Danio rerio: one gene and its partner. The protein of the gene in region 1 purifies or fractionates together with the protein of each later gene. This does not show direct contact. Links are inferred from orthologs where the notes say so. Each region holds a gene or a part of one and is shown in the gene's direction. Other genes may lie near its edges.

Region 1 (3,830 bases):
TTTTGTTGTTTCATGACCCTTTAATGTCAGGTGAAAGCAGATTCTTTGTGTGCTTTAAATGTGTGTGTTTTCACACCTGCTCTGTGTACGTGTGTTATTCAGGCCAGTCTTTGAAGACTCGGGACCCGGACGGCCTCTCAGCTGCTTCATGGAGGAGCCCATGCCATACACCGATCCCACAGGAGCCGCTGGAGGGGGCAACTGCCGTGCACTTGAGTCACCCAATCAGGAACAACGGCTCCAAGCACAACGCATCAGAAACCAGGATTCCCGAGGGCACACGCACACCCCCCAGAATCGACCGCACGGACACCAATCCCCCGACCTCCCTGAGGGCTATGGTAAGCCTAACCACATTATGTGGCAAGATGGTCAGGAGTGGAGCTTATCAAAGAGTTTTTTATTGTCATTGTTGCTGCATTTAAAGGGACAGTTCACCCAAAAATTAACATTTATTCACCGTTCACTCATACTTAAATAGTTCTAAGCTTTTATACATTATAAAAAACATTTATTATACTATATAAATAGATGTTGTTACATCAATTATGAGTGTATACATTATACAACCAAGACATTTTGAAAAAGGTTGGAAAGCTGCAGCCATTGACATCCATAGGATGTTTTGTTCATAGCATGGATTTCATTAGCCTGTTTCACACAAAAATACCAGTAAATATCAGGAAAATTTTGTTATATGCGGAAAATTTCTAAAACGACTTTACCGGTAAATTCAAAAAAGCGATGTTCACACATCCATTAAAAAATTTTGGTCAATTCTGTCATCCTTATCCAGAAATGAGCTCTAAACATCTGCGTTTATATTTGTAAACATAGAACATCTTTTATTGATGGTTACACCTTTTTTTATAGCGTTAGCATTTATGCTTTGTCCCAGACAAATTCATAGGCAGAAGTGCCAATCGCAGTTTGACAATATCACAAATTGTGTAGATGGATAAGTGTTCTGAACAATTTGTTTAAAAATGTATGGAGGAACATATCAAGATGTACATAATATGTGTGTGTGCTGGCGCTCACCAGAGTACACCTTTACGTGCACACGCATCAAGCAACTGAAGCAGAGCTCGAAGGTAAATAAACAGAGGTTTATCGTAAGCATTTTAGCGATAATTTCTTCCACATTTGGCTTTAAGAAGCAACAGAGAAACATTATCTGACTAACATCTAGCAGCTAAATGTATCTCGAAAAATATTCAAAAGGCTTGTACTTTCATAAACAACGCAGATGTGAATGTGTCTGAATTTCCTGATTGGCCAATAGACGTCTTCCCAGCAACATTCTGGCAAGTTACTGGTAATGTTAAAACTTCTCTTTCCGGAAAATTGACGGATCGAATTTACCAGTATTATCAAAAAGGGCCTGTCCACACATGATCCCACATAATGAGCTCTTCAACATTTTTTAAAATATCTTCTTCTTTCGTGTTCAAACTGGTTTGAAAGGATACATAAATGATTGCAGAATTTTCATTTTTGGGGAACTGTACTATTTAATGTTCGTGTAGAGCAGGGGTGTTCAAACTTGGTCCTGGAGGACCAGTGTCCTGCAGATTTTAGCTCCAACTTGCCTCAACACACCTGCAAGGATGTTTCTAGAAAGCCTAGTAAGAGCTTTATTAGCTATCCCAGGTGTGTCTGATTGAGGTTGGAACTAAACTTTGCTGGACACCGGCCCTCCAGGACCAAGTTTGGACATGCCTGGTGTAGAGTGAGAACGAGTTTGTCATTCTGCCATCACAACAGTAAACAAATCGTTAGAGAAGAGATGTCATTGCAAAAGAGAGAGGAAGCTGATTTGACTGAATATCTAATGACCACTGCAGTATTGCTTAAAAACAGAAAGATCCATTTTATTTCCAAGGCACGCTATTGGGATTCAGCAATACTTTTCTAACAACTTCACCTTTAATGCACTTCAAATAAGCTGGTGCGAGTAATTTTTCTGTCATTATGTATAATCAGCAGGTCACTTGTTATAAAGACAGGGCTAGCTTTGTTCAATGGAAGTATATATATAAATATTTAACTACAAACACAAGTGGTTTTGCACATCCCTGGAGTGTGCACCTGATCTCTTACCCACAGTACAGTCGGAGTCTGCTGAGACTAATACAGCTTAGCGCTTTGGGTAGAGGCTACTGAAGTGCAGTGAACTGGAGAGACTGAGCTCTGAAAGGAGTCCATTCAGCCGGGCACTGCTGCTTTAGCTGAGCCATGTGGCCGCTGCAGCCTGCATTATACAGGTGGATTGACTGCGCTAAAGCCCCTCATTGGAGTGTAACTGTGTCTGACCCGGCTGGTGTTGTGGTCGGGCCCTTTGGCGTGATCGCCGGACGGCGCCAGTGTAATTAAATCTCAGCCTAGACATGCCACACTGGCTCTGTGCAGTCTGAGAACTGGAAGCCGGGCGTTCTGTTGCAAAAGCCCTGGCGCTCTTTCAGGTTTCATGTAAAACTGCTGTCTTGCTCGTTCGCTCTTGACGTGTGCCTCTTCTCTTTTGTACCACAGAGCAAAGGACCACCGTGCAGGGCCAAGTCTATTTTCTGCACACACAGACTGGCGTGAGCACCTGGCACGATCCCAGAATACCCCGGTAGGTTTAATCACCACCCGCCTTCACTGAAATAACGATTGTGCCCTTTCTGATTGCTTCTTGCTGCTATTGTAATATCGCTCTAATCGTTTAATGTCCACAATCAGCTAACTTGATAATCAGCACAATCATCTCACTTAATAGCTGCTACTGTTGACATTGTGAAGCTTAATAATTTGCTCGTCATCAGGAGAACGAGGAAAGAGACTTGAGGAAAGCAAGGCGGGAAATCAATACAAGTCAAGCAGACAAATGCAGGTGTTTTTTGTGTGTGTCGAAGGTTATTTTAGTCACTGTAGCGCGTGACCTCTTAAATTGGCACCTTCTCTTTGGCCCAATCACATGCTTGTTTAATCAACACACATGCGAGCATGTTTTGAAAAAGTTCAGAAACCGCCGACTGTTTGTTTTGATCTTCCATTGTGCCAACATCTCTTTACTAAGACAAGTCAGTCCACATGTTGGCCATGTTTGTAATGCCTTCAGGCAACTATTTCATATTTTAATAAAGTACTGAGTAGATTTTTTTTGTTTTTAGGCATGGTTGTATAAAATTTAAAAGCTTTTTTTTTAGTTTTATGTAATATATAGATTTCAGTATATAATGATGGTATATAGATATATATACAGTGCTTCCCACAGGTTTGAAATATACTTGCAGTGGTAGTCGGATTGAAACACCTTTTACTCTCAGCACATAAATGGTCAACTACATGCAACAAACAAAAAAGTGATTTTTATCTGTATTTTTTTAATATGATACTGGTTATAAACCTTTTTATTTCAGTAGGTTAAAGTAAAATAAAAAAGATGGTTAAAATAAAATAAATAGACTATTTCTCTTACTTTTATGCTATTTTATGCTCTCACTCTTTAAAGTTGCTTTATTGGCATGATATTTTGTACAGTATTGACAAAGCAAATATACAACAAACGTGAAATAACAGAAAAAAAAGGGAAAAAAATAGACAATATTGCTTAAAAATTATAATAATTACAAAAATATAAAGTGTAAATTATATAAATACGGCAAGATTTGATTGAAAAGTTGATTAACCATTTCTAATGTTGTAAAAATATATTGCAGCCTGTATAGATGGAGTATAGATAGTCATTTTGTTTTTTCCGAGTATATGGTTTATCTGAGTCGTTTATTAAATAATTAGTCATTTAATGTTTCTCTCCCTGCAAAATGGTAATGCAAAAACAACAA
Region 2 (3,771 bases), on another chromosome or scaffold:
GAAGGGAGCGCAATTGTCAATATGAGGATCGCTAAAACTAAACTGTAAGAATACATTGACAGCAAATTACACCTAAGAGAGATTTATTATTATTATTATTATTATTTAAATCATTCCAAGTTTAAACGCTCTAAATGGATAGGCGTAAAGGGGATAACTGGGAATAAAAAAGAACCAGGAACTATGCTTCTAACTACAGCACTAGAAGTGTGCGAATGTTCGTTTGAACGATGGATTTGGGAAACGCCAAATTTATGAACTATGTTTGTAATGATGTTACTTGAGACATTTGTTGGCTTACGATGGTTTTCGGAAACGAACCCCAGGTAGATTATTAATTAGACAGCTATCAGGATGTTCAGAGTGTCATGTTCACAGGTGAAGTTTTAAAGGATTAGTTCAGGCAAATATTCAAATGATGTAATTAATTACTCAACCTTAATTCGTTTAAAAGCCTTTGTTCGTCTTCAAAACGCAAATGAAGATAATTTAGATAAAATCAGACAGCTCTCTTAATCTTCATAGACAGCAACCTTCTAGAGACATTCAAAGGCCAGAAAAGGAACCAAAAATATTATCGAAACAGTCCATGATCATATAAAGCTCCAAGAACACTGTAAATTAGACTATGAATATATAGTAAATATGTCAGATACCATTAGAGACTCTCATATTTCACCAAAAATATGTTAATTTGGGTTATAAAGATCAATGAATAAATTGTTGAGGGAACTAACACTTTAAACTCAAGATTTCAGTGACTCTTATTCATTGATACTGTCATACTATTTATGGTCTCAAAATACTGCTCTGCAAAAGAGCTAACTAATATAAAGCATTACCTTGGTCATTTTATGGTGCAGTTTAGTGGTTAATGCTGTTTTTGGAGCTTCACAGCCTTGCTTGTAAACTGTTGTTATATAGAGAAAAAGTTTCTTAAAATCTTCTCTTTTGTGTTCTACCATAAATCTAATAGCATGCAGGTTTGGATTGACATGACGTTGAGTAAACGATGACAGAAGGCTAATTTTGTGGTTAGCTATTTCCTGAATGACCCTGAGAGTCACAAGAAAATGTGAAGGAGCCACAGACCCTGGCTCTTGCAATCTCCCTGCCAATAGCCTCTCAGGAGCAAATTAATGGCATCAGTCAGCATGCACGTTAATCTGAGCTGATAGCGTGAAGCCTGGGGGGTCAGGAGGTCAAAGGCTTGCACTAAGTTGTCAGGGAGCTGAAAGCTGTCCCCAGGCCCACAGCGGGAGGAGACGCTCCCTCTCCACCCAAACCATCGCCACCATCACCCACCCACAGGAATGTGGAGGAGAATGGAGACGGGGGAGGGAGCTGTCGCCGGATATGAGCTCATGGCTTTTACATATCCCCCCCTTCCACACATACTCTCTTTCCAGATCAAGACTTGAACGCAATACGTGGCACTGCTAAGTGGAATCATTTTAGGGGATAATTCACCAAGGAAAATGCATTCTGTAGTTATTTACTCTTCTTTCATGTGTTCAAAACCTATTTGAGTTCTTTCTTCGGTGGAACACAAATTAAGATACTTTGAAGAATGTTGAAAACCTGTAAGCATTGATTTCCATAGTGTTTGTTTTCAACTTTCTGCAAAATATCTTCTTTTTATGTTCAGCAAAAAAAAAGAAACGGGTTTGGAACCACTTGATGGTGAGTAAGTAGTGGCTAAATTTTTGTTTTGGGGTGAGCTGTCTCATTAAGTGTGTGCGGCTAAGACACAATCAGGGTCTTTGGAAGCACATGATTGAGCCATTAAAGTAATAATGATCATTTTGATTTAGATTTTGGTTGTTTTGCTTAATTTTTAGGGCATATATACTTGACTTAAACAGGTTTTTTAACGTCATAATATTTCTTCCGCTCATTCTATCCATTTCTCAGCTTTTCAGTGTGTTAGTAAATATTTGAATGAACTAAGTTTTGAAGTAGTGCCCTCTTGAGGCCACACATAACAGTGCAGCCTTCAACTCCACATAACAAACCATCTCTCTGTCTATTTCAGTGTTATGGGACAAATGAGTGACAGCTGTGTTCTCTCTCTTCCTGTTTCAGATGCCAGTCTGTCACCTGACGCCCCCAAGCAGAGTCACTGGTGTAACGTGGCGTACTGGGAGCATCGGACACGGGTGGGCCGCCTCTATACGGTGTACCAGCCTGCCGTCAGCATTTTCTATGACCTACCTCAAGGTACGGGCTTCTGCCTTGGCCAGCTGAGCCTGGACCAGCGCAGCAGCACCGTGCAGCGGACGCGTGGCAAGATCGGCTACGGCTTGCTCCTGAGCAAAGAGCCGGATGGAGTCTGGGCTTACAACCGCAGCCAGCACCCCATCTTCGTCAACTCTCCGACTCTGGATGTCCCAGGGAGTCGAAGCCTGGTGGTGCGCAAGGTGATGCCTGGATACTCCATTAAAGTGTTTGACTATGAACGCTCGTCCATGCTCAGGCAAGGAGCCGAGTCGGAGCTGCTAGACGGACCCTATGACCCGAACAGTGTGCGCATCAGTTTCGCGAAGGGCTGGGGCCCTTGTTACTCCCGCCAGTTCATCACTTCGTGCCCCTGTTGGCTGGAGATCCTCCTCAACAACCACAGATAACACATGGATAAACACATGGACTCGCTCATGCCGAGAGACTCCACAAACAATCCCAAATATCATCTACTTAGATTTAATATAAAGTTTTATATATTATAAGAAATATATATTATACTTGTAAATACTGGAGTCATTTTTACGATGTAATTATTTATGTATGGTGCAATGTGTACATGGACAAGAGGAAAAAAAACGGGAAATGCACTTTGGCTTATATATTATATATATAAATATCTATAAAGATAAAGAATCTTTCAATACCAATTTGAAAAATTATACAGCAAAAATAGGAAGAGCCTGGTTTTGGTGTATAGTTTTCATATACTATTAATATCCAGATGAAAAGCTAACACCATTCACACATTGATAATAAAGTATTCGCATAATACTGCTTTGCCTTTTTGTCTCTCTTACTCATTTATAAACAAAGCCTGATTCTAATGATTACATTTTATATGGTGAAGAATAAGGAGCGGCACGGTGGCTCAGTGGTTAGTACTGTCTCCTCACAGCAAGACCGCTGAGTGTATGAGTGTGAATGGGTGTTTCCCAATACTGGCATATGCTGGAATAGTTGGTGGTTCATTCTGCAGTGCAACCTCTGAAATAGAGACTAAAGCTGGTTTATACTTCTGCGTCTAGTGATCAGAGTGACCCACGGCGCATGCCTTGCGTGTAGCCGTGCATTTATATTTCTGCAAGCTGTTTGTGTCACTCTGCAATAGACTCTTTTCACATTTCCGGGTTTCTCAGTAGCAGAAGTCGTCATAGTTGGGAAACTTAGTGAACGGGAGAATACAACAAATATTTTAAAAAATCTTATTTACTCAGATAATAAAAGAAAAACTCTATGATGATGTTATAAAGATGTACAGAAAAAAGAAAAAAAATTGTGTGAGCATGATGACGGCAACCAGAGGAGAGAACAACATCAGATTTACTCTCAGCCTCATAGACGCTGCATTAGAAACGCCTCGCACAAGCGGTAATTTGGTTTTTATCATTTGAAACAAAGATGATATACTTCATACATAAATTCATATGTGTTCATACTTTTTTTTTAAAATCAAAATATTAAAAACTGTCAAGGATTAAGGATGCTGATGACCATTAAACACATCCTTACAGGCTTGTGAAAAGTGTC

Evidence for each region.
Region 2: the proteins of smurf1 (region 1) and smad6b purify together in Homo sapiens (affinity purification with western blotting; 4 studies listed by BioGRID). This does not show direct contact. The link is inferred for Danio rerio from reciprocal best matches to the Homo sapiens genes SMURF1 and SMAD6.

Annotation. Positions count from the first base shown.
Region 1 is NC_133178.1:39,663,900-39,667,729, reverse strand, and holds part of smurf1 (E3 ubiquitin-protein ligase SMURF1), read left to right. Parts: intron 1-102; coding exon 103-341; intron 342-2,532; coding exon 2,533-2,617; intron 2,618-3,830. UniProt on the Homo sapiens protein: E3 ubiquitin-protein ligase that acts as a negative regulator of BMP signaling pathway. Mediates ubiquitination and degradation of SMAD1 and SMAD5, 2 receptor-regulated SMADs specific for the BMP pathway.
Region 2 is NC_133193.1:21,083,635-21,087,405, forward strand, and holds the end of smad6b (mothers against decapentaplegic homolog 6b), read left to right. Parts: intron 1-2,085; coding exon 2,086-2,627; 3' UTR 2,628-3,015; downstream 3,016-3,771. UniProt on the Homo sapiens protein: Transforming growth factor-beta superfamily receptors signaling occurs through the Smad family of intracellular mediators. SMAD6 is an inhibitory Smad (i-Smad) that negatively regulates signaling downstream of type I transforming growth factor-beta.